4 linked regions of the Pelodiscus sinensis genome follow. The protein of the gene in region 3 interacts with the protein of the main gene of each other region in a pairwise test. Links are inferred from orthologs where the notes say so. Each region holds a gene or a part of one and is shown on either strand. Other genes may lie near its edges.

Evidence for each region.
Region 1: the proteins of NMI (region 3) and BRMS1 interact in binary tests that used the Homo sapiens proteins (3 or more experiments, as listed by UniProt). The link is inferred for Pelodiscus sinensis from reciprocal best matches to the Homo sapiens genes NMI and BRMS1.
Region 2: the proteins of NMI (region 3) and GCSH interact in binary tests that used the Homo sapiens proteins (3 or more experiments, as listed by UniProt). The two-hybrid records come from large-scale screens. The link is inferred for Pelodiscus sinensis from reciprocal best matches to the Homo sapiens genes NMI and GCSH.
Region 4: the proteins of NMI (region 3) and MTMR9 interact in binary tests that used the Homo sapiens proteins (3 or more experiments, as listed by UniProt). The two-hybrid records come from large-scale screens. The link is inferred for Pelodiscus sinensis from reciprocal best matches to the Homo sapiens genes NMI and MTMR9.

What each region holds. Positions count from the first base shown.
Region 1 is NC_134721.1:32,359,165-32,366,124, forward strand, and holds the start of BRMS1 (breast cancer metastasis-suppressor 1), read left to right. Parts: upstream 1-3,955; 5' UTR 3,956-4,122; coding exon 4,123-4,127; intron 4,128-4,392; exon of another isoform or gene 4,393-4,414; intron 4,415-5,313; coding exon 5,314-5,459; intron 5,460-5,771; coding exon 5,772-5,862; intron 5,863-6,118; coding exon 6,119-6,246; intron 6,247-6,960. Other genes in the region: B4GAT1 (beta-1,4-glucuronyltransferase 1), read left to right, coding at 130-1,212, 2,017-2,208. UniProt on the Homo sapiens protein: Transcriptional repressor. Down-regulates transcription activation by NF-kappa-B by promoting the deacetylation of RELA at 'Lys-310'. Promotes HDAC1 binding to promoter regions.
Region 2 is NC_134722.1:11,491,753-11,498,620, reverse strand, and holds the start of GCSH (glycine cleavage system H protein, mitochondrial), read right to left. Parts: upstream 3,003-6,868; 5' UTR 2,926-3,002; coding exon 2,781-2,925; intron 1-2,780. Other genes in the region: polycystin-1-like protein 2, read right to left, coding at 5,705-5,830. UniProt on the Homo sapiens protein: The glycine cleavage system catalyzes the degradation of glycine. The H protein (GCSH) shuttles the methylamine group of glycine from the P protein (GLDC) to the T protein (GCST).
Region 3 is NC_134717.1:27,661,195-27,669,161, reverse strand, and holds the start of NMI (N-myc-interactor), read left to right. Parts: upstream 1-4,955; 5' UTR 4,956-5,263; intron 5,264-7,967. UniProt on the Homo sapiens protein: Acts as a signaling pathway regulator involved in innate immune system response.
Region 4 is NC_134713.1:2,877,541-2,884,845, forward strand, and holds the start of MTMR9 (myotubularin-related protein 9), read right to left. Parts: upstream 3,001-7,305; 5' UTR 2,550-3,000; coding exon 2,365-2,549; intron 1-2,364. UniProt on the Homo sapiens protein: Acts as an adapter for myotubularin-related phosphatases. Increases lipid phosphatase MTMR6 catalytic activity, specifically towards phosphatidylinositol 3,5-bisphosphate and MTMR6 binding affinity for phosphorylated phosphatidylinositols.

The sequences.
Region 1 (6,960 bases), on a different chromosome or scaffold from region 3:
TTCCCGGCCTCCCGGCCGGCTGCATACAAGGACAAGGAGCTGGAGCCGCCCGCTGCCTGCGCCGGTCCCCCATGGCGAGCATGGGCGCAGCGAGCCGGGCCTGAGCGCGGTGCCCCGGCCGCGGCCGGCATGCAGAGCCCCGCCAGATGCTCCTTCTTCAAGGTGCTGCTGTGGGCGCTGGCACTGGTGGCCCTGCTGCAGCTGCTCTACCTGTCCCTGCTCTCGGGGCTGCACGGGCGCCAGCAGCGCTCCCGCTACTCGGAGCTGTTCGGGGGGCGCCGGGGCGAGGCTCCCGGCCGGCCCAGCGAGCAGCAGAAGGAGCAGCTCAAGCGCGCCCTGGCCAGCGGCGGGCGGCTGGATGCCAGCGGGCAGTACCGGATCTACACGGACATGCTGGGGCCCCCGGAGCGGGCGAAGCGGGCGCCCGACTTGGTGCTCGCCACACACACCAGCCTGAGCAACCTGTACCAGCTGCAGGAGCTGGTGGGGCGCTGGCAGGGCCCGGTCTCCGTGGCGCTCTTTGCACCGGGCCCCGCCGAGGTGCGGCTGGCTACGCTGATGCTCTACGCCCTGGGGACACTGTGCGGGCCAGTGCGCCAGCTGGTGAGGGCCCACCTGGTGTGTCACTCGGGGGACCTGGCCGCCTTCCCAGAGCTGGAGGACCGGGCGGAGTTTGCCCGCTTGAAGGCCTGTGGGGATGTCTTCGCCAAGCTGGCACGGGCCGGGGTGGGCAGGCGTAACTATGCCCTGGGTGCCAACGCCTCCTACCCCAACAACTTGCTGCGCAACGTGGCAAGGGGAGCAGCCACTGGGCACTACACCCTCGTGCTGGACGTGGACATGCTGCCCAGTGAGGGGCTGCGTGAGGCCTTTCTGGCTCTGGCAGCAACCTTGGGTGCTGAGGGGCCACCGGGTGTCTTTGTGGTGCCCGCCTTTGAGATTCGGCATACCCGGCGCCTCCCAGGTGCCAAGACCGAGCTACTGCAGCTGTATCAGGTGGGGGAGATCCGGCCGTTCTACGAGGAGCTCTGCCCGCGCTGCCAGGCCCCTACCAACTACTCACGCTGGCTGAACTTGCCCTTGGGCAGTCCCCTGAACACCGCCTACGCCGTGGAGTGGAGGGACCCCTGGGAGCCCTTCTACATCAGTGCCAACTCTGTGCCACCCTACGATGAAAGATTCAAGCAGTATGGGTTCAACCGCATCAGCCAGGTACCTGCCTAACTGGGAATGGGGGGGCATTAGTGCCATGGGAGACACCCCAGAAATACACCCAGCCTCCCCAAGCGATGGAGCAGGGTGTCCTGACCCATGGGTGAAACAAATCAGGGAAGTCTCATCCAGGTGATCTCCTGATCACTGGACAGCCTCAGGCCATGCTTACTGAGCCTCATAGAGACACAAGGGCAAGAGGAGTGATTATTTCCTTCCTTGCAAGGGGGTTTTGGCCCTGATCCAATCGTAGTCCAAGAGTATTTGCTGGCTGGAGAAGAGAAGCAGCACAATGTAGGGACATTGTGCTGCAGGGTGGAGGGTTCAGTAAGAGGTGCTTTCACCTTGCATTCAATGCTATCCTCAATGCCCAAGGCTGCACCAGGAGGTGCTGTAAGTATACCTGTTAGTGGCATCCGTCCAATTAGATGTAAAATGCGCCTTGGCCCCTTGTGTTCACTAAAGACCATTTGTCCCTTTTTCTACAGCTTCAATCCAGTGAATTTCCACTTTTTGTCCTGAATTGTAGTGTTCTGTGAAGCTGTGAAATAGCTTCCACATCCCATACTGCATCTGAGCACTGGGTGAGGGATCCCTGTATAAAACAGCTCCAATGCCCCACCCCAGAAGCAGCTGCATCTCAGAACCAGGGGAAGGATCCCTCTATAAACAGCCTGCACACTCCACTTTAGAGGTAGCTGCTTTTCTGCACTTGATGTAACAAAGTGTGGGACACTTCAGAGTCCAATGAGGGTGGGGGTTACTCTGGTTTCTCCTTCACAGCTCTCCTGTCCCCTTTTGTAGGCATGTGAGCTCCATGTGGCTGGGTACAGTTTCTCAGTGCTGAACAATGCTTTCCTGGTGCACAAGGGCTTCAAGGTGCCAAGTGAGTTCCATGCACAGAAGGATGCTGAGAATCAGCGCAACAAGGTGCTCTTTCGCCAGTTCAAGCAGGAACTGAAGCTGAAGTATCCTGGCTCACTGCGCCGATGCTGATGGGCCTGCTGTCTTGGGCACAGCTCCTCAGTTCTGCCTTCCCTATGACTCTTCAACTGTAGCTTTGGTGTCAGTGTTTTTTGGGGGGGCCGTGCCCTCTCTTTTTCATTGAGTCATTAACGCTCACATCAGACAAAGGTTTATAGTTAGGGGGGAATCTTTCCAGTCACATCACTCTGGCTCCTTCACCACTCCCAGCCTATTGCTGGGATTGTGTATCCCTTTATCCCTTTCTTCCAATTCACTTCAGCATTCTCCTCCCACAGTTTTCCATTCAATATCAGACTATCTCAGAACAGAGGACTACCACACCTGGTCTTCTGCCTGTGTGGGTAGAAATCAGCTGTTTCCTCCATCCACAGTTCTCTTGTTATGATTCTTTCCCTCTCTGAGCAGAGAAGGGGGCTGTTCTGGATTCAACAGCTCCCTCTCCCTTTCTGTAAGTGGCTATGGGTTGAGAACCTAATATAGCAATTAGAGGAGGGAGAGTCAGGACTTCTGGGATCTTTCCCTAGTGCTGAAAAGAGAGTAGAGGTTAGTTGTTAAAGAATGACGTGTTGAAATTCAGGACTTCTGAATTCTGTTCCCAGCTTTGTCACTTATTCTATTTGCCCCAAGACCCTTCCACTTTGTGCACCTCATTTTTCCCCTTTGTAAAATGGGAATAAATGCACTGACCTACCTCCTGAGGGCAGGGGGCATGAGGCTTAATTTATGAAGATGCTCAATGCTGTTTGGTTGGGACTGGCAGAGTGCTCTTGTCCTCTGGCACTGTAGGGAATGGCCTGGCATTCCGTCGCCCTGCGTGCAAACTTTAGGTTGGAACAATAAAGTACTGTGGAGGCCAGGAGCTTCTCCTCATGGCTGTGTCCTGCTGTGGGTCCTTTCTGTAGCGCCGGAGGCAATGGTGGAATGTATCTGTCCCGCACAGGGCTTGGCTCACTGTGTGGCACTATGGGTGGGGCTGACTCCTTCATGTGCCAAAGCAGAGGCTCTCCTGCCAATGAATCCATCCTGCTCATGATCAGGAGAAGGGAATTGAGAGCCACACACCCTTGGCTTCTCTCCAGGTACTTGGCTGTTGGGGGCAGTCCCATGACAACACTGTGCTTGTGCACCATGGCAAGGAGGCCAAAGGCATTGTACTGAGGCGGGACTGGGACTGGGTGCCAAGTGTTATAGCAATTCTGGGACTGGAGCTGTGGCAATGCTTCAGTGACACTGCACCAGGCTGTGATGACTCTGCCCAGGAGCCACTACAACACTGACTGGGTCCTCTGGAGATGTCATGACCAAGCACCATGGCATCAACTCGACTAGGTACCATGGTGATGTGTCACAAGCAGGTGCTGCGGCAACACCAATTCGGGGGGTGCCCGCCCTTTAGCCAACTTTCGATGGATGTGGTCATCTCAGGCTAGGCTGTGGGTCTGTTGCCATGGGAACACGTCTCATCCTCCACTATCCCATAAGGCCCGGAGTAGTGGGCAGCTGGGAACCATAGAGTCAACGGCGCGCTGATTAATTGGTGTCCCTGATTGGCTGCAAGAAAATAAGGTGGGGCCAGTAGCTACGGGACTTCCGGGTACGGAGAAGCGAAGCAGCTACGGGAGGGAGGCCGCCGGCCTGGACTCCCGAGGTACGTGGGGCTCAGAGCAGCGGGAGATGGATTCGTCCCAGCTTCCCCCTCATGGGGTGCTGGGTGGTGCGTTCCCCGCTGAGATCAATAGAAGCCAGGATAGAGCTTGCGCAACCCAAGGGAGAAATTCGCTTCCTCCCCTGCTTGTGGAACTTGTTGGTTCCATCCCCGTTGAACTCAAGGGAGGGCAGGCTGGCCCATTACAACCGCAAGGGGGAAACTTACAGCGACGGCCGGCGCAGATTATTGCAACTCAGGGGAAGGTTGCGGCCCCTATGTTGTGGGTATTCAAAGATCCATTCCTCGTGAAACGTACTGGCAGCGCAGACCATTGTAGCTTGGGAAGGGGGTGCACTGTATCCTACTTCACCCCCCTCCCCCATCATGGGGACATGAATGACACCTTCCAAAACAAATTCAATGAAACTGGGAGATGCGAAGAAATCTCGAGGGGAGGGCGAATTGTGGCCTTCTGGTGTGTGTGTATGTGGGCTCAGTGGTATCTTCCCCAACACAGGCATAGACTAGAGCAAACGGTGTCAATTGGAGGGGGCAGTTATAGCATTGGTATGTTCCTCGGAAGTGAGCAGAAAATGGGAAATACCATTCTCATGGAGGGGGGTTCTCCCAGCATTGCGTATGCAGTAGTGAGCCCATTATGGGATATGGGCCAGGCCATGGTTACAGAGCGAGCAGGGGGCTGGGAGCCAGGACTCCTGGGTTCTGTTACTGGCTCTGCCTGTTTTCCCACCCTTAGCCCTAGCTGTCTATGGGGCTTGGGTGCCCCATGGGGTCTTGGGCCTATTGGAAGCCAGGTCCCTGCATTGTTGGCAAGGAGGGAGCAGCTCCCATCCGCAACTTAGGCTCATGGCAGCAGATCTCTGGGGTCCCAGCTCCGCTGGGGTCAGCACACATCGCTGCAGAGTCGCAGCACATGTCACAATGCCGTAGCAATAGCAGCTGCCAGCACCTGGCTCCCTGACAGCATCTCGGCAGCTTTGCGGGGTTTCCCCTACAAGGTGGCTGCACATGACAGTGCAGTGAGAACAAGGAGGCGCTGTCCCTGTGCCAGCCCCATGGCAGGATGACTGGCTGGCTGGGTGTGGGATGGGGAAATAAAACACCTCTGCAAGGTGCTGGCTCTGATCTAGCTCCATGTGAATCAAGTTGTGGGTTTTGGCGTTGCTCCCAATGGAGAAGGTTGCTACTTCCTTGGCCAGTGGGAAGCCTTGGGAGCTCAATGGGCTGTGGCGATTGGGGCCTACTAGCTGAGGTTGCCCTGGGGCAGGGGGATGCAAATTGTCAAGGGTTGCTGTTGGTGTGGTGGAGCTACCCATATTCACAGTCTGGGCACATGGGGTGTCCCATGGTTTTGTGGGTAGCTGTCCCTGGCCAGGTGTGATGGAGGAGGGTGGGAGATGCAGTGAAACAAGACCCTCCTGGATCACCTGCCATTGATCACCTAGAGTGCCCATGCCGGTGCATCCGGTGCCCAAGGAGGCCGAAGAGATGGAGGGGGATGGGGACTCGGCACCTGAGCTGAATGGTGAAGAGGAGGAGAGCGAGGAAGAACGTAGTGCCAGCCCTTCTGAATCAGAGGAAGAAAGCTCAGGTATTTGAGTATGGAAGGGGATACAGGGAGGGGCTTGGCCTTTTATCACAAGGCGGTTCTGGGATGTGGCTCTGCTTCCAGGGTAAAAGCCATGACCCCAGTGTCCTCTCTCTGGACTCCTAAGTTATGTTCCCAGCTCTGGGAAGAGTGGGGGGTATTGGGGGATGGGGCTGTGAATCAGGACTCCTGGGTCCTATTCTTCTATTTACTCCTAGCTGTGTGTGTGTGACCTGGGTGAGTGTCCTGGCTCTGTATGCCTCTGTTGCCCTGGTCTGTGTGTGGCCTGTAAGATACATGTGCTGTGCCCTGCAGAAATGGATGAGGAGGACTGTGAGCGGCGCCGCAGCGAGTGCCTAGATGAGATGTGTGACCTGGAGAAGCAGTTCTCTGAGCTCAAAGAAAAGTGAGTCCCCTCTTGGATTCCCCATCTTTTAGGTGCCTGTATCTCAGTGCCAGGCAAGAGATCCTGGTATAAACTGTCCCTGCTGCACCCCACCCAAGAAATGGCCGCATCTCAGTGCTAGCTAATGCTGTGGGTTGGCAAGGGCTGAGCAGGCCTATGCTGGGTGTGGTGGGCAGAACTGGACCATGCTGGGTGGTGTGAGGGAATCCCTGGGGTGGACAGGACTCTGCTCAGTACCTGCTGGTGCACCCTGCAGGCTGTTCAAGGAGCGGCTGAACCAGGTGAAGGCCAAGTTGGAGGACGTGGCATCGGGGCGGGCTGCCGAGTACCTCGACCCCCTGGGTGTCCTGCAGAACAACATGAAGATCCGTATCGAGGTGGCTGGTGAGCTCATGGCCTTGCCCATGTGTTAGCTGTATCCCCTGCTGCCCCACAGGGGACTGGTTCCACTGCCGTGAGGAGTGGAGGTTCCAGGGCTCAGTACCAGGACCTGGGAGGAGGGGACTGTCCCATGGGCTGTCCTGGTCTGGGCAGGCCTCAGAGGGCAATTGATGGCTCTAAGGGAGCAGCAAGGCTCTGGAGATGGGGCAGTTGGGTTTAGGGGGGCCCAGATGCAGTGTGGCCCCGGGGGGAGTGGGAGGGAAGGGTTCAGAAGAAGGGAGGATGGATGGTAGAGATGTAAGTGCCTGTAGCAGAGGCAGCAAAGGGCATGGGGGAACAGGAGCTGGTGCTGGGGGGGAGATGGCTTAAAAGCCATTTTCCCCCCAAGCACCATCTCTGTGGTGCCGCCTCCCCCCCACCTGCTGCTGCCACTATAAGAGGCAGCAATGAGGGGTAGGTCAGGAGGGGCTGCTGCCATGAAGCAGCCTCTGCCCACGGCCAGCCTGGGCTGCCATGAACAAGACCTGTTGCTAGAGCAGCTTCTGTTCATGGTGGCCCAGGCTGGCCAAGGCATGGGCTGTTGAACCCAGCACAAGCTGGGACTGAGCAAATCTGGCTCAGTCCCAACTTGCGCCAGTCCAGGATTTTAAATGTAGTAAGAGCTGCCCGGCATGAGCTGGGATAGAGCACCTTCCCTCATCGACTGATCGTGTAGTC
Region 2 (6,868 bases), on a different chromosome or scaffold from region 3:
ACCTGCTGCACATCCACATTGCCTTCTTGCGCAAGAGCTCATGCGCGAGAGGGCTTACACCTGTTGCGCAAGAAGCCCTCTCTTACCACGCTGTACTGTAAATTTCCTTGTGCAAGAGCCGGCGGGCAGTGTGGACGCTCTGCGGATTCTTGCGCAAGAACAGCCATACTTGCGCAAGAAGCTGCCAGTGTAGACATAGCCTAGGTGTTCACACATCAGTGTATAGCAGGGCCAGGCAAGATATGGCTATGGGGCATCATTCAGCCCACCAAGCTACTGGATCCGGCCTGCAGGCCACCCAATCCAGCCCCATACCACCTTGCTGGGACCCTCAGGCACAGAGCAGCCTCATGGCACCTTAAGTGTCTAATGGCTCCCTATTCCAGGTGAGAGATAGGAGGGTGCACTCTGTTCCCCTCCCCCCCAGCAAAATCTCTCAGCTCAGAAACAAGCTAAAGGGAGCTGAGAGATTTGGGGGGGGGGGGGGGGCAACACATAAAGCCTCTCCCTCCCCTTGGAGCAGAGAGCCACAGGGAGCAGCTAGCAAACCTGCCTCAGGATCCTGCAGGGCTTCTGACTAGGAGTCATTAAGGTAAGTGCCTCTGGCCACAGCCTGACTCTAGCACCCCAGCCTCTCTCTCCCTCCAACTTCCTGTCCCAGGTCACCACCTAAATCTTCTGCACCCTCATTCACCCTTTCTCCATGGCAACTCCCTCCCAGACCCTGCACCCTTTCCTACATCCCACCAGCAGGCCAAAATGCTCTCCTACACCCATATCTTCTCCTTGATCTAGCACCCCATTCCCCTTCCCCAGGACATCACCTAAATCCTCTGCTCCCTCTCCCACGTGGTCACAATTTCCTAATAGACCCTGCACTTCCTCCCTACACCCTCCCCCAGGCCATAATCCTCTCCTGCACCCATACCCCCTCCCAGACCCTGCAAGAGGACCTCTGTACCCTTATGAATGTGCCTGCATAAAATTCAGACCTAAATTCACGTAGTCCATTAAGGGGAAAATTCAGTGATTCATTCCGCTTAAATTTATAATCACATAGGTGCACCATCAAAGCTTCACTTGTTGAAGCTTCAAGGAGGTGTCTATGGATCTACATTAAGTAAGAGTTGTAGGATCAGAGCCCAATCTATCACTTTTCCCATGTGCGTTATCAGAGATGTTAAAAATAGATTAATCAACTAATCCAATAATTGATGGAATTTCCATTAAGTATTTGATTAATCGATAAGGGTGTTTCCATTTTGAAATATAGCTAGAGCCTGCCCAACTGTTGCTACATTTCAAAGGTGTAAGTGCTAAGGCATTCTGCCTTTGAAATGTATAAGAGCTCTTGTACATTTCATATGTGGAACACCATCGCTGCCCCCTACCCGCTCCCACAGAGCTGGAGGAACCAGCTTTTAAGCCAGCACCCCCTTCTCATCTCCCCTGGGGGGAGCGACTAGTTAACTAGTGCATTGACTATCCAATAAGCTTTTGCTTATCAGAAAGCTGACTAATCAATTAGTCACTTACATCTCTAATGTGTATGATGGATATCAGTGAATGTGGAATGTTTAGTGCCTGTGTCTACAAAAAAGCTTGCCAATGTCTTCTTTTAGATCAGGTATACAAACTTCTACTGCATCATACTATGCATAGTAAAGTAAAATCATCTAATACCTCATGCACACTAGCAAGTTTCTCACCAGCAGGAAGCACCTCATGGTCATTTGGGTAGCAATGCTAACAAGTGGTCAGATTATGCCATAGTGACAAAAATGGCTGCGCCACGTCTACCTTGTGCTTATACCTGTCGTAGCTGCATTGCAACATCACTCAAGCTACCTCTAGTGGGGCTATTTTGGGACACCGGAAGTATTCCAAAATAGCAATTCCTCATCTTTAAACATGCCCGTTATTTTGGAATATATTTTGAAATAGTGGGCACACTATTCCTTATTCCACAAGGGTTAAGCGACTTATCAGAATAGTGTTTTAACAAATTTCGATATAAGCAATTTTGAAATAATCTCTAAATAAGCTATGCAATTTGCATAGCACAAATTTCATGTCTTATTTTGAGGTAAGGGTGCTGTGTAGACACATCTTTATTGATAAAAACAGGTAAGATGTTTCTAATGTGAAGAAGCATCTGTGATCAAAATAATGGCCCACTGATCATTTTACAAACCAGGCTATCTAATAGTGGAACCTGGTTTACTAACTTAACTCCATCTCACTTTTTCTCACTATAACTTAGCCCTTTACAAATATGTTGATCTGAGCAACATACCCAACCACGAGTGGTTTTTAGGCATAAATCCCCTTCTCCGTAGATTAGTGAACCCGGTAGATTTCTAGCTATAATCTTGGGAACGGGAGTCAAGCGTCCTGGATTAGACTCCCCGCTCTGCAAGGGATTTGCTGCGCTATTTACAAAACAAGACCTTCCCCTTCCCTCCAAGGCGCCATGGTTTTCAAGCGAGGGTCCCCAGATTAGGTCTACGATTTCCAAAGGGCTCTGCACCTCCATGTGGAAACTGCCAGGGGACTGGCTCTCCCGACCTGCGGCTCTCCCGTAGGGCCCAGCTGGCTGCCAACAAACTAACGGGGACACGCACCAGGCAGCAGCACCCGCGCCCCGACTGCAGCCCTCAGGCTCGTATGTGCCCCCCCGCGCCTGCCCCGCGCACCGGCCCCACACACGCACCGGGACCTGTCGCCAGGCCTGGCCTCCCGCCATGTGGGCCCGGCCGGCGGCCCGTGCCCGGACTCACCGGAGAACAGCAGCGCGCTGGTGCCCAGGCTCCGGGCCGGGGCCGCCTGAGGCCAGGCCGACCGGGCCGAGGGGAAGGGGCCGCCGCGGCCTGGGCAGCGCGGAGCCAGGCTGACCGCCACCCTCCGCAGCGCTCGCAGCGCCATCTCAGCCGCTCGCAGCCCGGCGCCCGCCGGCCCCGCACAGTCCCGCGGCGCGCTGAGCCTGACCCCGCGGGCGGAGCCGGGGGAGGGACCAACCGACGCGGCCCGCCCTCCGCCCTGGGGTACGTGCGGGGCGGGGCGTGCGGGCATGAGGGGAGCTGGGTGTGGGGGGAACAAGGGGTGTGAATGCGAGTGGGTGGGGGTCTGTGAGAGAGGGCAGAATTAGGGTGTGAGGGGGGCTGTGGTGAGAGAGGGGGAAGGGGTGTAGGGGGCTGTGGTGAGAGGAGGTGTAGTGTGTAAGGGGCTGTGGTGAGGGGGGAGGATGTAGGAGACTGGTGAGGGGGTGTAGTGTGTAGGGGGCTGTGGTGAGGGGGGAGGATGTAAGAGACTGGTGAGGGGGTGTAGTGTGTAGGGGGCTGTGGTGAGGGGGGAGGATGTAAGAGACTGGTGAGGGGGTGTAGTGTGTAGGGGGCTGTGGTGAGGGGGGAGGATGTAGGAGACTGGTGAGGGGGTGTAGTGTGTAGGGGGCTGTGGTGAGGGGGGAGGATGTAAGAGACTGGTGAGGGGGTGTAGTGTGTAGGGGGCTGTGGTGAGGGGGGAGGATGTAAGAGACTGGTGAGGGGGTGTAGTGTGTAGGGGGCTGTGGTGAGGGGGGAGGATGTAAGAGACTGGTGAGGGGGTGTAGTGTGTAGGGGGCTGTGGTGAGAGAGGGTGAGGGGTGTTGGGGGCTGTGGTGAGAGGAGGTGTAGTGTGTAAGGGGCTGTGGTGAGGGGGGAGGATGTAGGAGACTGGTGAGGGGGTGTAGTGTGTAGGGGGCTGTGGTGAGGGGGGAGGATGTAAGAGACTGGTGAGGGGGTGTAGTGTGTAGGGGGCTGTGGTGAGAGAGGGTGAGGGGTGTTGGGGGCTGTGGTGAGAGGAGGTGTAGTGTGTAAGGGGCTGTGGTGAGAGGGGGGAGGGATGTAGGGGGCTGTGGTGAGAGAGGGGGTGTGGTGAGTAGGGGGCTGTGGTGAGAGGGGGTGTAGTGAGTAGGGGGTGTGGTGAGTAGGGGGCTGTGGTGAGAGAGGGGGGAGGGTGTAGGAGACTGGTGAGAGGGGGTGTAGGGGGCTGTAGTATGGGAGAGGAAGTGGGTGCATGGGCCCACGAGAAAAGGACAGAACTGGGGACTGGATGTGGGAGTGAGGATAGTGGGGGGCTGTGCTCACGAAAGCTCATGATACCATCTACATGTTTTGTTAGTCTATAAAGTGCTACCAGACCATTTGTTGTTTTTTTCTGTAACAGACTAACTCGGCTACCCCCTGAAGCTTCTGAACATGCAAGGCACTAATTCACGAAGCACAGGTGATGTAAATCAAGGGCTTCTCTACATTTAAAATGCTGTAGCTACTGTGTTGTAGTGCTACCTATGTTAGCTGGAGGGACTCTCCAGTTGGCATATTAGATAATCCACCTGTCTGAGAAGCAGTAGGTGGTAGGTCCATGATGATGAAAGATTTCTCACTTAGACCTAGTGCTGTCTACAGCAGGAATTAGGCTGGTTTAACTACTCTTCAGGAGGTGGCCTTTCTGCCTCTCTCTGCATCTGACCTGAGGGGTGTGGTTAACTCTAGCAATTATTGCATGCTATTCCTTACTTATACATTTGCAGGCTCTGATATTACTTATTATTCATAACATATAAGGAAGAATTATTTCTCTGCTGGATACAATAGGAATTATTAAACCTTGTTTGAAAAGAACTGAAAAGTGTTTGATTGTGTAATCCTTCCTGGGACATTGTCAGTGGAGTTACAGTGAACCTCAGGAATTCAGTGACTCAGTCTGAAGCTATTGTCCACAAGTTATAAGGCTATTAAGTCTGATGATCCTTAAGTACCTCACTTCCCAAGGAAAACCAAGGTTTATGTTTAAAAGACTCAGAGGGGTAGCTGTGTTAGTCTGAATGGTCCTGTAGCCAGGAGCAGCCCGAGGCCGGCTGCGGAAGGTGCGATCTGCGCCCCCACGTGCATGGCTGTCAATGGCTGTGATGTAATCATGGGGCGCCTGAGGCCACAGCGCCCTAGGCAACTGCCTAGTTTGCTTAGGTCCACGGGCCGCCCCTGCCTGTAGCACCTTAGAGACTAACAAAAATATCAATAGTATCGTCAGCTTCATGGGCACAGCCCACTTCTTCAGATCTATGTTATATGCAGTGTTGTGGGAGCTCCCTTGGTCCCAGGATATTTAAGAGACAAGGTAGTAAGTATTAGACCAATAGATACTAATCCAAAATGATCTTACAGTACCTCACCCATCTTGTCTCTAGAGATCTCTGTTGGTCCCCAAGCTGTAATGACTCCAGGGAATGGGATTTTAGTACTTCCCTGCATGCTCTGTTGTGATGATATTGCCAGTGTTGAATATGTAAAGAGTTGCCAAATTTTAAAAAAATATTCCTTCTAAGACATTTAAATCACATTCTGGAGAAGTGGGACACTATTTCTTGGTTTTCTGATCAAAAAATTTAGACAAACTGCAGGGAACATGTAGCATTTATTAAATACATGACAGTAAATGTACAGAAAGAATAAGACAATATACATAATTGGACACATTATTCTAGATTTATTTATTATTTTACAGGTAATATCCCATATCATACAACACAAGATTTAATTATTAAATATATTCCTGTTTACACTTTACACATAGCAGCCACAATATCTACGTCTAGCCACAGCAGCTGTAGTTTAAAATGGATAGCAGGCAAGACTTTACAGAAAGCAATTGGTCATTATGGTTGTCAAGTAGTAGCTGCTACTTTCAGTTGTTCTTCATTGGTTGGCTTCTCTTCCTTTTTGCATTTAATCCCAAGGAAACTGAAAATTTTCATCAGCATGAGATCAACAATCTCTTCCTCTTCTGAAGCCTAAAAAAATGACAAAAACAGCTTCATGTTGCTATAGTTGTTCATGGATTGTTAGTTTAAACATATGGTATGAAGTCCTGATTCTATTGATGTAAATGGCAAACTACCATTGACTTCAAGTGCACCAAGATTACACAGAGAAAATCTAAATCGAACAGAAATCAATTCAGGTGGATGATGCAGAATTTCACCACTACTGAAAAAAATTCAGTTTGTGGCAACATTGCTGAGTGAAATTCTGGTTCCACACTTGTCCATGGGAGTTTTGCCACGGACTTCAGTAGAGTCAGGAATTTATCAGCTAATTTACACCCGATGGTTCCCCAGATATATGCTTATAACTCTAGTGAAGTGAGAAGAAGTTGCATATGTGCATCTAGCGCTTACATGAACAATCTGTTTTGTTTGTCTTTCCCTTGGTTTTATATACAACAGATTCATCAATGTCTTCACGTATAGCAGAGATTTCCAGCACACAGCCCATGGGCCATTTACAGTCCAAGCAGTTCTATAATTTGACCTGAGCATCCTTGCGCACCTTGGGCGGGGTGTGTCCATATTTCTCCCCAAGCCCTGCCCCATCCTGTTGCCCCCTCCCCTAAGCAACGTGGACCAGGGAATTATAGGGCTTGGTGGAGGGTGGCAACAGGGGTTGCCCTCCTCTTTCACACTCAACATGTCAGTGGGAGCCCAAGTGGCCTCGCAGCCTGCTCTGCCCCACTACACTGCCCTCCCAGCCTGCTGCACTCCACTTCTCCAAGGCAGCGGGAAGCAGTGCCCTAAGGGCTGGGGCTCTCTACTTCCCCATGCAATTAAGAAGCAGAGCATTGCCAGCTGGGAAAGGGAAGTGGAGCAGGCTGCTGGGCGGCTCTTGAACCTGCTGCCACAGTGAGCGTGTGAGGGGTAACCTCTTTTGCTGCCCTGTGCCAGGCCCCATAATCCCCCGGGTCTCTCCCATCCATAGGATGGTTGAGGCGGCTGCCGCTGGGCCCCCTAAAGCATGGGGCCTGGGGTGGCTACTGTGATTTGTCCTATGGC
Region 3 (7,967 bases):
TAGTTGTGGTTGTGAAATCCTCATTTGTTTATTGCTTCATCATTATGCTCCCCATCTCTCTATTGTTTATCAGAAAGGTCTCCGTATGGTTCTTTATTTCTGTCTCCTTTATAATTAATTTTGTTAGGTATAAACCAACTAAGGTGGTGGGATATAATTGGTTAGATAATTACAATGAGTTAGGATTAGTTAGTTGAATTTTAGTAGAATGATTAGTTAAGGTATACCTGAAAATATTAATATATATAGTAGCTAACCCCAATAAACTAGAAGCTAACCCCAATATACATTGAATTGTTTGCATCTCCAGACTTTGGGTATTACTGTTCTTTGTCATGTGAGAAGGAAATGACAAGGTGAAGGGATAAGTCATCTACCAGCAGTTAGCAAAATTACCCTATCCTGGGAGACCATCTTGGTTATGACAATCTTGTGGCCCACTGAGCTAAAGGAGGGCCATGTCCACTCACTAGCCTAGAGTGCCCATTCTTGCTTTAGCATCTAAAATGTAAAGATTTATTTATCAGAAAGAAAGAAATCAGAATTAAAATAGTTAAAGGAATCACATACATGCAGCAATTGCAAAGTTCTTGGTTCAGGCTTGTATCAGCAATGGAATAAATTGCTGGCTTAAATTTAGTCTCTGGAGTACTTCCACAGCTTGGATAGTCATCCAGTCCTTTGTTCAGAGCCTCAGTATGTAGCAAAAAATTCTCTAGAGGTGAGAAGCAGGACTGAAGACAAAAGGGAGGTGTTTAGAGTGCTTTTTATACCTTCTGCCATGTGGAGGGAATACCAATGTTCTTGCAATGGAAAAGTACAGCAACAAGATGGTGTTTAGAGTCATATAGGAAAATCACATATCCATGCATGATTCAGTTCTTTACAAGTAGAAGCCATTGCTCCCATGCTAACTTGAACATTCACAGGAAGGCTCCTCAGATGTGAATTAGCACCTTCCCAGGCTCATTATCAGTCAAGTACTTTTATTCAACTTGAATAGTCCCTTCACAACATGTTGGCCAAATGCCCTGTTGGTGGCTCTCAGAAGTAAACATTTGAAATACAAGTACATAGCCTTGTACTTGTGTACCTGCACCACTCATAATTTCAAATACAAAAGTGACACATGAATACAAATGACATAACCATAACCAGTTGATCATAATTGTTTCATAGACACCTCACTTGGCAAACTTTGTACAAGATTTGTTGCAAATATATAAGAACATTTGTAACAGCGATCTATATGGTCATATTTTAATCTGGTAACATCACATTCTCCCCTCAGCCACATTCCCTGGCAGGGTGCCAGTGCAGATTTTTTGTGCATGCCATGGAAGTGGGGGGGAGGGGCAGAAGTGAGAGCAGTGGCTTCAGCAGTGTAACTGATCATGCTTAGTACAAGCCAAGCACCAACTCGGGGGAAAGGGGAGGGAGACCAAACCTGTCTCCCTCCCCCCCCCCCTCACCACACACATATCATCTCTTTCCAGGAGCTTCTGAAGCACCTGAAAACTCTAATTTTTTGCAGGTAACATAGCAATTGGCTGACAGGAACATTGTATGTAATGTAATTCCTATGGAAAAAAACATTAAATGTATATTGGATCCATTCAGCTCCAATATTAAAATGTTCTGACATCTTGTGGCAAGTCACTTGAAAGACATTGGTTAAGTTTAAAATTTTAATGTATATTCTTACTTTGTCACTAATGCTGCAGAGACAGAGACTTCATCATAACTCCTGGGTTCTAGCTCAGCTCTAGGAGGGAAGTGGGGTCTAGTGGGTTACAGCAGGAGGCAGATATATTTAGTCTCTATGGGTTCATCTAGACTACAGGGAATGGTCGAAAGAAGATATGCAGGAATTTGCATATCTTCTTCCGATCACACTTTTGAAAGCAGAGCTTTCAAAAGTGAAATTAGTCAAGGCTCAGATTTTTCGGCAAATCCCCCCACCCTTTGTTGAAAAGCCATGTAAACCTCCTTTTTTGAGGAAGAGCAGCTTTTTGACAAAAGGGGGGAGGGGTTTGCTGAAAAAGCCGTGTCTTAACTACTTTCACTTTCAAAAGCTCTTTCAAAAGTGCGATAGGAAGAATCTTCTTTCGACCGTTCCCCGTAGTCTAGATGAGCCCTATATAAGAACATCAGAATAGATACTGGATCAGACCAATGTTCCATCTATTCCAGTATCCTGTATTCTAATAGTGGTCGATGCTAGGTGCTTCAGAAAGAATGAACAGAACAGACAATCACCAAGTGGATCCATTCTTTCACCCTTTCACAGTTTCTGACAAACAAGATGTTAGGGACACTCTCTGCCCATCCTGGGTAACAGCCATTGATGGATCTATCTTTGAACTTACTTGGATCCTATTGGAACCCTGTTTAGTTTGGTCTTTTCCATTATCCTTGGCAAACTGTTCCACAGGTTGACCATAAAGAAATATGTTTTTGTTTCTTTTAAATCTGCTGCTATAAATTTCATTAGGGTGATCTTCTTGTGTTATGTAAAGGAGAAAAATGTTCACACTATTCATGATTATATAGATCTCTAACATATTCTCTCCAGCCTTCACTCATCTATTTTCCAAGCTTATGCATCCTAGGGTTTGGTTTTTTTCAATTTCTCATATGGAAGCTGTTCCTTACCCCCAATAATTTCTGTTGCCCTTCTCTGTACCTTTTCCAAATCCAAAACATCTTGGCTACGTCTACATTGGCATCCCTTTCCAGAAAAGGGATGCTAATGAGACGGGTTGCAATTGCAAATTCTGCGGGGGATTTAAATATCCCCCGCGGCATTTGCATTTACATGGCTGCCGCTTTTTTCTGGCTTGGGGATAAGCCGGAGAAAAGCGCCAGTCTAGACGTGATTCTCCGGAAAATAAGCCCTTTTCCGGAGGATCTCTTATTCCTACTTCAAAGGGCTTATTTTCTGGAGAATCACGTCTAGACTGGCGCTTTTCTCCGGCTTATCCCCAAGCCGGAAAAAAGCAGCAGCCATGTAAATGCAAATGCCGCAGGGGATATTTAAATCCCTCGCGGAATTTGCAATTCGAAGTCTACATTAGCATCCCTTTTCCAGAAAGGGATGCCAATGTAGACACAGCCCTTTTGTTTGTTTGTTTTTTGTTTGTTTTTGGATGGGGTAATCAGAACTGCCTGCAGTATTCAAGATATGGGTGTACCATGAATTTATAAAGAGGCAATATGCAATTTCTGTCAAATCTATTCCTTTTTTAAATTATTCCTAATATTTGGTTAGCTTTTTTTGTTTGCTGCTGCAAAGTGAAACTATCTACAATGATTCCAACATCTCTTTCTTGAGTGGTAACAGCTAATTTAGACCCCATCATTTTATATGTATAGTTGGGATATTTTCCTGGATTACTTTGTATTTATCAGCATTGAATTCCACCTGCTACTGTTGCCCAATCATCCACTTTTGTGAGATCCCTTTGTAGCTCTTTGCAGTCAGCTTTGAATTTAACTATTTTGAGTAATTTTATATCATTTGCAAATTTGCCACCTGTTTATCCCTATCATTTATGAATAATTTGAACTGTCCTGGTCCCAATACAGATCCCTGGAGCATATCAATATTTAACCTTCTCCATTCTCACCAGTTATTCCTTCCCTTTGTTTTCTTTATTTTAAGTGGAGTACCTGATGATGCTTTTATGATCTAATGATCCTTCAATTAATTTAATGATAAGCCATGCCCCAGAAGCTCTGCTGCACTTAAGAGCTGCTTCTGGGGCATGTGCTGTAAGTAGCCCTTAAGTATGCAATTCATGGGTTCAAAAATAAGGGGTTCAAACTTCAGGGGAGGCTAGAGCCCCCCATCCTGCCTAAATGGTGCTCCTGTTCCATGGCCTAGAATACTTGCTGCAGTCTTAGCAGGACTATATCTTGAACGCCCATTTGCCATATGTCTGTGCTACTTATGCCAAACAATCTCTCCCGCTTTGCATTTCGCTATGATGTTGGGAATCCCTTTCCCAGCCCTCAGGAAAAGTTCTGTGTAGCTCAGAAGCTCGTGTCTCTCACCAACAGAAGCTAGACAACAACAAAAAAAAATACTTTTTCACCACTTAACTCTCTGACATCCTGGACTGGACAGAGTTACAATGCTGTACCCATCTTTTCATTGAGACAACTAGCCCTGCATAGCCATGAACCTTCAATTGCATTGCTCCTTTGCTTGTCTAGGGGCTTGTCTACACTCCAGGTTACAGCAGCATAATTTTTGTCACTCAGGTGTATGTCTAAGTCCCTCCCCCCACTCTCCCCAGTAACATAATTACACTAAGTACTACAGCTGTACAGCACTGGACAAGATTCTCCTGCCAACATAGCTACTGTGCTAAATGGGGATGGTTTAGCATGCCAAGGGGAAGGATCTCTCCCATTGGTGTAGCTCATCTTCACCAGACCAGCATCTTCCCTGGTCCAGCTAACATATCCCTCCCTTTGCACTTTCTAACACAAATCTGTCCCTTCGCAGCCTGCAACAGGCTAGTGGGGCACAGGAGCAGGAATCCAGGTGGGGAAAGAAGATACACATGGGACTCCCCTAGGGGCAGCAGCAGCATCATGGAGCATTTTGAGTGCTAGAGAAGGTGCAGAGCAGGGCTGGCCAAAGGATGCTCATAAAGTGGGAGACAGGGCCTGCCTTACAGTAACTGCCAGAGCTAGGGTTGCCTGGTGTTGGGTTTTGAACCAGACAGTCCAGTATTGGAGTTTTCTGTTCAGAAAACAAATGGAGAACATATAAATGTCCAGTATTTCCTAAGTCAGATGTAATGTAGATTGTGATGTGATAGCAAGTGTGTGGGGTATTTTTGTTGAACCCACCTGGCAACCCTCGAAAAGAGTCAGAGACGTGGCCATAAAAAGGCAGCCGCCCAATGCCTGTCAGGGAGAACAGCGGCTGCCTGCCCCTGGGGCTGTGTTCCCGAGGCAGCGCGCCGGGCGAGGCTCCCTGCAGCTGGGCGGAGAGCGGAGCTCCCAGCGGGCCGAGGGAGGGAAGCCACCGCCCACGGGCGGGGGAAGCTGACGGCGGAGAGCCCCGCCCGGTGGCGCGCTCAGGCTGGGCTGCCTCCCCCGCCACGTGATTGCCAGGCACTGGAGCCCAGCTGCGGTCGCTAGTGCTGCTGCCTGCCCGCTGGCGACTCCACCGGCTCGGGGGCTACAGTGCGCCGGGGGACCCGACCCACACCCAGCAGCGCTGGCCTCGCCGCCGGCCCCTGCCCCTGTAAGTGCAGCCTCGTTCTGCAGGGTGGGCTCGCTGCTCCGCGCCGTAGCCGCCCCCCTGCTCCTGAAACGAAACTGATAGTGAGCGATGGGAGCCGGGCCCGGGCGGGTCGGCTTTGCCGGCCCCTGCAAAGCGGGCAGCGCCTGCCTCGTTGTATGGGGGGTTCTTTAAAGAGCTGGGTCTTCACGGGCCGCTGTAGAGTCCCTGCACCGGCGCTTAGGGCCGGGAAGGACACGAGTGTCAACTTGACGCTGGCTTCCTGAGCAGGCCGAGCGCTGGGTGTGATGTCTCTTAAAAACCCCACCTCTTGGTTATGTACAGTGAACAGAACACAAGCGATGCTAAATGATCGCCGGTAGCACAGGCGTGTAAGGGAGCAGCTCTCTACCGACCTCGGGCACCAAGGTTTTCAAGAGTTAGGAGTAACAGGAATCATTTGCCCTTGGGATAAATGGCCATTTAGGCAGCGTTTTGTTTTGCTATATAGAGTTTACTGTTTTGTAAAGTGCAAATACCCGTTTTCTTCAATATAAACTACTTGTATATGTTTGTGTGCTTGACAATTATTTTGTATGTTGTATTACATATAGAGTAGATTTTTATGAGGATAACATTATTGTTTGTTTGTTTTTTTAGATGGCATTCACAGTGCTTTCCAAGCAGAAGTAGTGGTGCTAACTTGTGATTTTATTGCCAGGCATGCAAAAGTTGATATTTTACTTTAAGGCCTCCTTCCCAACTAGAGAAAAATGTATAAGAGCAGTGCTTTTTATGTGATGGTACTGCCCGGTACACAGTACCAGCACCTCCATAGCTCAACAACTTTTCTCTTGAGCTATGTCCATATTGGCAAGATTTTACGCAAATACTTTTAACGCAAGAGTTTTTGCATTAAAGTATTTGCGCAAGAGAGCGTCTACACTGGCATGTGCCTATGCGCAAGAGATGTGCTTTTGCGCAAAAGCATCTGTGCCAGTGTAGACGCTCTCTTGCGCAAGAAAGCTCCAATGGCCATTTTAGCCATCGGGCTTTTTTGCGCAAGAAATTAATGTTGCCTGTCTACACTGGCCTCTTGCGCCAGAACAGTTGCACAAGAGGGCTTATTCCTGAGCGGAAGCGTCAAAGTGTTTGCACAAGAAGCACTGATTTTATACATTAGAACGTCAGTGTTCTTGTGCAAGTACTAGCAGCTAGTGTAGTCAGGCAGCATGTTTTTGTGCAAAAGCGGCTGCTTTGGCACAAAATCATGCCAATGTAGACACAGCCTTGGAGTACCAGCACTTTTTTTAAAACAAAAAAAGCACTGCATAAGAGTATCTATTGGCTTTCATCAAAGTACCACCAGAAGAAGCAGTGCAACTTTTTAGCTCTCATGGTTGTAGAGCAGGGGTTCATCATCATCATCAACAACCATGGGCTCAGTGCCCATTGATGTCCTATGCCTCCCTCACCATTTCCTTCCATCTTACCCTGTCCAGTGTGGAGTGGCTTAGTTTCTGTAGATTCGCTCCGCACCAATCTACTATATCATCTACCCATTCTCTGTGGGGTCTGCCTCTCCTATTCGGGCCATCCATTATGCCAAATACCAGGGTCTTAACCTTTCACTTGTCATTCATTCTGCAGATATGCCCAAAAGAGCAGGGGTTGGCAACTGTGTAGAAGTGGCATGCCCCAGTGGCGTGCCACCACGCTCCCCGGGGGGTGGGATGGGATCTCCAGTGCACGCCCTGCTTGGTCTCCTGCCCTGGACTCCCAGGCAGGGGGACGCTGCACAGCTCCCATGTCCTGCCTCCCCAGAGCATTGGGAAGGTAGGGTGGATAAGGCATCATGTGTGTTGCTTTGGGGAGGGGAGGAGCAATATGCATGCACTTCCCTGCAAGCTGGATCCTGTGTGGAGCCTTGGGGCTTTCCCCCTCCTCACAGGAAGCTGGTGCTTACTCCAATCTTGTGGAAGGTGTTACACAGGATAGCCAGCTTGGGCTTCCTGTTAACTGGTCAGGGAGAGCAATGAAGAGCCCGTTCATCATGCGTGCTACTGAAAATCATCTTATGTACCACTTATTGCATACGTGCCATACGTTGTCGACCTCTGTTGTAGAGAAAAGCTTGAAAATGCTTGAATGCCAGAGATCACATAAAGCTAACCATTTTTAGGGGAAAAAAATCCCATACTTTGAAAATCTGCCTTATGATTTTTGGGACATTTGGGGTTGGCAATACTGTAGAAGTGAAGGTGTAAGTTACTGTGTTTAATTTGTGCCAGAATAAATGTTTACCCTCAAGGAGTAAAAAATAATGCCACCCTGATCCTGCATTACTCACATATATAAAATTGAACAAGTGCGTAAGTGTTGAAAGATAAGGAGACAATTTCTGAAAAATGTTGTAGCTCCTGCCTTAACTTGTCCTGACATCACATGCGCAGAGGTGGATCTTTGTGCTTATATGGCAATGTAAGTGCCTGTATTCAGTATTATGTGGAAAGTATTATGTGGAATTCTGATCCTAATTGGGGCACCTAACTGCTACTGTAATACAAATAAGAATTCCATGCATGGACCAAATTTCCAATAGTTAGTTTGCAGTTTTATTAATTTCTTCAAGATTAAATCAGATTTCAGTGTACATGTGAGATGTGCAGATTAAGTCCCAGTACTGCAAAGATTTATGCACATCTTAGTTTTATTCATACTGCACAAA
Region 4 (7,305 bases), on a different chromosome or scaffold from region 3:
CTGGGAGGGAGGTTTTACTACTAGGCCTACATTCAGCTGGCTATGACTTTGACCATATCACTTCACCTCCATGTTTCTGTTCCCCCACCTATAAAATGAGCATAGAGTGGCTAGCTCTCTCAGAGACAGCGTGGGAAGCATTCTATAAGCAGCGCCTATCAAGAGGATTGATTTGCAGAAGAAAGGCGATACAGAAATATGCCCTATAATACAGTCAGACTGATTTTCAAACCAGTTCGCAGTTTTGTCTTGGCATCCCTTTATGTTTTAGCCTCACAGCTAATGGCGGGTGCAATCTGTTGATGGCACAATGCTAGCCCTGATCAAATGCAGGCCCAGACTGACATGCAGGCCCTCGGAAGCAGCACAGGCAGTATAGCTGTAACTGTCTGAATGCTAGGGATTTAAGAGTGTAAATGACTAACAGTTTAACTCATAAGGGCTGCTCGCTCTGCTCCAGGGGAGGAGGCATCCCTGATGCAAGGAAGCCTGCTCCCAGGGCAGCTTCGCTGCGGGCTCTGCAGTATAAATCAAAGTTTTATACTGCAGAGCCTGCAGTGTGGGTAACCGTATAACTGCTGAGATTTTCAGCGGTTACACAGTTAGCCTATTACACGATTTTTAACATCCCTACTGAATACAGTACAGCCGTCAATGCAGGTACGAGCACCTATATAAAAGATAAGATAAAATCCGGTGGGTCTGTAATTTGGTCTGCTAAGCCTTTATTTCAGCTAATAAACCATTAATTTCTTCACTCAGTAGCTGTGTGACTGTTTCTCCAGCACGGAAGAACTGGAAGAATTTGGGACAAATGAAGGAATAGTGTTCAGCTTCAACGATGATCCCATGTGCCTGCATGCCCTCCTATTTCATAACTTCCTGTAGTAACAGTTTACAACAAGTGGGGCTATTTTTCCTCTCTGCATTTCCTGGAGTATCCTGACATCGCAGAGTCAATAAAGACGGCTCTTCTCCACAATGAGATCAATAGGCCGTACGTGTAAAAAGAGTCACTGAAGAATGGCAAAAAGCTACTAAAAAGAGCAGCAGTTTTGGAGCTCATGCCTCAAAATGATTATGAAAAATTTTCAGCCTAAGCACAAAAATCTGCTCACCTATCTTTATCAGAAGGACACTACAAAAAAAAAACAATATTCTACTTGCCCATCAAAGAGATATTCACATCAGCAAAGCGAAAGGGTAAAATTCTGTAATCCTGCGCTAATCCCATATTGGTTTGTCTTAGGGACATCGCTATATGTGAACTAAAGCAGAGCTATTTACTGGGCCCTACATAAGGGCCCCATGTTGTAATCCCTGGCGTTTTTTCCCTCTAAAGCAGGCAACAAGGATTTTTAAGAGGAAACCTCTAAATGGATCAGATGGGATAGGATAGAATGGCACCGTGATGGAGTCTATACTGCAGAAGAGTAGCCAATAGTCCTCAAATTTGTCAGGCTGATGAGGAAGAGGTAGAGATAGTATTGTATTAGTTCCTATATGGCAGTGTGACTTCACGTAGAGAGTATTGGACAGAGTCTCCAAAAATATGGTTTCTATTCCTGGCTCTACCATTGGCCTTGTTGTGACACTTTGAAAACATCATTTCACCTATGTATACCTCAGAGATAATGATAAGAGCGGTCATACTGGGTCAGACCAAAGGTCCACCTAGCCCAGTAGCCTGTCTGCCAACAGTGGCCAATGCCAGATGCCCCAGAGGAAGTGAACAGAACAGGGAATCATCACAAGACCCCTCGCAAGACAAACAGGCTAGGGACATTATCCCTACCCATTCTGACTAATAGCCATCCATGGACTTATCCTCCATGATATACTTTGTAAAGCACGTTGAGATTTACAAATGGAAAGCAATGTACAAAAGTTAAGTATTATTATTATACTGTAGCCAATGTTCCAAGTTTTTTCCATCCGTACGCAGAATAAATTTTGTTACGTGCACCAAAGCACGTGCAGATGTGCACCACCAATATAAATACACACTGCTGGTTGTGGTCAGCTGCGGCTTCTCTGCCAGTCAGCTGGGCAGCACCTGCATCTCTCCTGGGCAGCCAGCCAAGCGCTCAGCTTACAGGGAACGCTTTCACCTACACACTTTGCTATCTCCGGTCAACCCAGGAAAGCAGGCAATGATCACCCCCATTTTACAGAAGAAGGAAACCAAAGCAGAAGTGAAGTAACTCAACCAATGTCCAAAACAGGACTAGAATCCAGTTACCCAGACGCTCACGCTTCTGCTTAGTACTAAACCCTTGGGCTCCTGATGCCCAATTCTTTGCCGTGCTCCCCACCCCCCTTAGGAAGAGACGGAACTAGATGGGTGCAAAGACGTGAAAATACCTTTTTTCTATGGAGTCAATGTTGGAGTGCAGCAGCCACAGCTCCTCAGCATTGTCCTGGCGCCGGGAGGAGAGGATGAGGTGGTGGCCAGTCAAGCACAGGGTCCCCTCCACCGCCGGATAGAAGGGGCGGTGCAGGACCACGTTATCCGCGCGGGGTGTCTTGATGAGCTCTGCAAACTCCATGTCTCCCCGGGGCTGGCACAGGCCTGGGCGCGACCTTGGCAGGTAACCAGCTGGCAGGGGGCGAGCCCGAACTCTCCACTCTCCTGGGGCCGAAGGGGGGGGGATCCAGACTATCCCCAGGGCCCTTCCCCGAGCGCAGGGGGCTAGGAACTAGCAGGGAGGCACAGGGGTGGGGTGGGGCATCACTGACAGGGGTGGGGGGGCCCAGCGCCCGCCTTGGGGGTGAGGGAGCCACGTGCTTCTCTCCTGGGGGGGTGTCACAAGCCCCCCTCTCCGTGGGGGGAGGGGCAACAGGACCGGGGGAGGGGGGGTGTCACAATGTGCGAGGGGCCAGCTCAGGGTGGGGCACGGCCCCTGCTCCCACGGGGGGGTAACCCCAGGCCTCAGCGGGGGGGGTCACAACCCTAGGCCGGGGGGGCGTTGTCACAGCAACGGGGGGGGGGGCACGGGCGGAAGTGGCTCTCCCCCTGGGTTCCGGCCGAGCCGCGGCCCCGCAGCAGCAGCCCCAGCGGCCAGAAGCCCAGTCCCGGCCTGGGCCCCGGATGGTGGGGCACGGAGAGGGCGGGGTTGCTGGAAACCCCACCCCCGCACCCACACACGTGACTCCACGGACCAATCCGCGGCCACCGTCCCGCAGCGTGCGGGCGGAAGACACGCGCGCACGCTGCCGGCGGAGCGTCCGCCCCGACCGGAAGTCGTCCCTGCAGGACAGAGGGCGGCGGGCCCCGGCCGCCCCGGCGCCTTCGTTCCGCCGCCAAACCGGGCCCGCCGCGCTTCGGGGCCGCGGGATGCGGGAGGGTAACGAGGGCGGGACCGGGCGCCCGTGCGGGCGGGGGCAGGACAACGGAGGCAGGGCGGGGCTAGTGGAGTGTGGGGCGGGGCTGCAGGGGAGGAGCTTGGGGGCGGGGCTAGTGGAGTGTGGGGCGGGGCTGCAGGGGAGGAGCTTGGGGGCGGGGCTAGTGGAGTGTGGGGCGGGGCTGCAGGGGAGGAGCTTGGGGGCGGGGCTAGTGGAGTGTGGGGCGGGGCTGCAGGGGAGGAGCTTGGGGGCGGGGCTAGTGGAGTGTGGGGCGGGGCTGCAGGGGAGGAGCTTGGGGGAGGGGCTAGTGGAGTGTGGGGAGGGGAGAAGGGGAGGAGCTTGGGGGAGGGGCTAGTGGAGTGTGGGGCGGGGCTGCAGGGGAGGAGCTTGGGGGCGGGGCTAGTGGAGTGTGGGGCGGGGCTGCAGGGGAGGAGCTTGGGGGAGGGGCTAGTGGAGTGTGGGGCGGGGCTGCAGGGGAGGAGCTTGGGGGCGGGGCTAGTGGAGTGTGGGGAGGGGAGAAGGGGAGGAGCTTGGGGGCGGGGCTAGTGGAGTGTGGGGCGGGGCTGCAGGGGAGGAGCTTGGGGGAGGGGCTAGTGGAGTGTGGGGCGGGGCTGCAGGGGAGGAGCTTGGGGGAGGGGCTAGTGGAGTGTGGGGAGGGGAGAAGGGGAGGAGCTTGGGGGCGGGGCTAGTGGAGTGTGGGGCGGGGCTGCAGGGGAGGAGCTTGGGGGAGGGGTTAGTGGAGTGTGGGGAGGGGCTGAAGGGGAGGTGCTTGAGGGAGGGGTTAGTGGAGTGTGGGGAGGGGCTGAAGGGGAGGTGCTTGGGGGAGGGGCTAGTGGAGTGTGGGGAGGGGCTGAAGGGGAGGTGCTTGAGGGAGGGGTTAGTGGAGTGTGGGGAGGGGCTGCAGGGGAGGAGCTTGGGGGCGGGGCTAGTGGAGTGTGGGGCGGGGCTGCAGGGGAGGAGCTTGGGGGCGGGGCTAGTGGAGTGTGGGGCGGGGCTGCAGGGGAGGAGCTTGGGGGAGGGGCTAGTGGAGTGTGGGGAGGGGAGAAGGGGAGGAGCTTGGGGGAGGGGCTAGTGGAGTGTGGGGCGGGGCTGCAGGGGAGGAGCTTGGGGGCGGGGCTAGTGGAGTGTGGGGCGGGGCTGCAGGGGAGGAGCTTGGGGGAGGGGCTAGTGGAGTGTGGGGCGGGGCTGCAGGGGAGGAGCTTGGGGGCGGGGCTAGTGGAGTGTGGGGAGGGGAGAAGGGGAGGAGCTTGGGGGCGGGGCTAGTGGAGTGTGGGGCGGGGCTGCAGGGGAGGAGCTTGGGGGAGGGGCTAGTGGAGTGTGGGGCGGGGCTGCAGGGGAGGAGCTTGGGGGAGGGGCTAGTGGAGTGTGGGGAGGGGAGAAGGGGAGGAGCTTGGGGGCGGGGCTAGTGGAGTGTGGGGCGGGGCTGCAGGGGAGGAGCTTGGGGGAGGGGTTAGTGGAGTGTGGGGAGGGGCTGAAGGGGAGGTGCTTGAGGGAGGGGTTAGTGGAGTGTGGGGAGGGGCTGAAGGGGAGGTGCTTGGGGGAGGGGCTAGTGGAGTGTGGGGAGGGGCTGAAGGGGAGGTGCTTGAGGGAGGGGTTAGTGGAGTGTGGGGAGGGGCTGCAGGGGAGGAGCTTGGGGGAGGGGCTAGTGGAGTGTGGGGAGGGGAGAAGGGGAGGTGCTTGAGGGAGGGGTTAGTGGAGTGTGGGGAGGGGCTGTAGGGAAGGAGCTTGGGGGCGGGGCTAGTGGAGTGTGGGGAGGGGCTGAAGGGGAGGAGCTTGGGGGCGGGGCTAGTGGAGTGTGGGGCGGGGCTGAAGGGGAGGGGCTTGGGGGAGGGGCTAGTGGAGTGTGGGGAGGGGCTGCAGGGGAGGAGCTTGGGGGCGGGGCTAGTGGAGTGTGGGGTGGGGCTGCAGGGGAGGAGCTTGGGGGAGGGGCTAGTGGAGTGTGGGGAGGGGCTGCAGGGGAGGAGCTTGGGGGCGGGGCTAGTAGAGTGTGGGGAGGGGCTGCAGTGTGGAATCCGGCCCGCGGAGGCCCTTTTGCCCACCCCTGGTGTAGGGAATGGCTGAAGGAGAGAAGCTTGTGGGGAGGGGCTGAAGGACTGGAGCTGAGGGATGGGATCGGAGGAAGAGAGACTCTTGGAGCGGCGCTGGCACTAACTCTGGTCCTAACTCTGACTAGGACCAATGGCCTTCACTGCCTTGTGTCTCAGTCTTCCCATCTGTAAAATGGGAAGGAGGGATTGTTGTCTCTGTAGAGGGTTAAAAGCTGTCCTGACACAAACTTAAATCTGCTCTAGCACTCCTGTCTGGAAGAACACACTGGATAAAGGCCCCACGTTTTATGGAGAAGAGAGGCAGAACTTCCCATTAAACAAACAGAACTATGCTGGTTCCTTTTGGTCCTCAGCCTTTCCATATCGGTTGCTTCCACCCTAGCTCTGGTGAGAGAGGCTGGCAGCATCTCAAGAGCCTATTCCTGCCAGAGCCAACCTCTCTGAGTGCTAGAATCACAGTCTGGGAGTCCCTACCATTATTTATTTGTGAGCAAAATAAACGAAGACAGACATATTGATTATAGTCAATGCACAGAGGCATGTAGCTGATATTGCTCATCCATCAGCTCTTCTGTAGTCAGGTATCCAAAGCAAGGAGCATATTCGGCGTACCCATCATCTGTTCAATGAATATTTGAATATCTTATTTTTATGCTTTTGTAACCCATTTTACAACTTTGATGCGCAATTTGCATGCATGATTTATCTCGCTGGTATAATATAATAGATTTGCACACTAGGATCTGTAAATGTGTATTTATTTATGTAATGTATAAACAAATAAAAAAAATGTGTCCTCTAAGCTTATATAAACTTTTAAATTTTAAGAATAACTATTGTTTATTAACATGAAGAAATTAAGCATCAGTATTACGTAGGGTTGCACTAGGTGACTGTAGATACACCTTGAAGACATGACTGACAAGATTCTATGAGGTTTGAGGAGAAGAACAAAAACAAAACACCTAAGCTGTGTAGTGACCCAAGAGGGTCTTTCTTTTAAAAGAGGACTGATAAGAGAGAGAAACAGCTGTTTCCTTGATTGGAGCTATCCTCAGCTCTGATTAGGGTCAGATAGTGTCTTCAAACAGCATCCCTTCCTCTCAGAAGTTTCAACAATGAATTCACCTCTTACATTGGCCAATTTACAGGGTGGCTGCAGTGACATCTGTATTCAAGGGTGCACATCTCCTGCACAAGGGAAACAGTTTGGAGTTATTTGTCAGGGCACAAAACCCACAGGAAAACAGGAATTTTGGTAACAGCCTACACGAGACGTTGTTCATTCATTGTTGGTACACAAGCAATCAGGTTTTCAGACTTTGGTCTCGTGTTAAGAGCATGAGAACTTAAGAACGGCCATGCTGGGTCAGACCAAAGGTCCATCTAGCCCAGTGTCCTGTCTGCCCACAGTGGCCAATACCAGGTGTCCCAGAGGGAGGGAACAGGGAATCATCAAAATACAGGACTATGTAGCACTTTAAAGACTAACAAGATGGTTTATTAGATGATGAGCACGTGATCCCTCCTTGTCATCCATTTTCAGCCCCTGACAAATAGAGACTAGGGACATTATTCCTACCCATTCTGGCAAATAAGGGAAGGACCTAACCTGCATGAATTTATTGAGTTCTTTTGTGAACCCTATTAAAGTCCTGGTCTTCGCAACCTCCTCTGGCAAGGAGTTCCACAGGTAGACTGTGCACTTCATGAAGAAAAACTTCTTTTTGTTTGTTTTACATCTGCTACCTGTTAATTTCATTGGGTGACCCCCTTGTGCTTATATTGTGGGAACAAATAAATAGCTTTTCCTTATTCGCTTTCTCCACAGCAGTCATGATTTTATAGACCTCTATCCTATCCCCCCTTAGTTTCTTCTTCTCTAAGCTAAAAAGTCCCCATCTTTTAATTC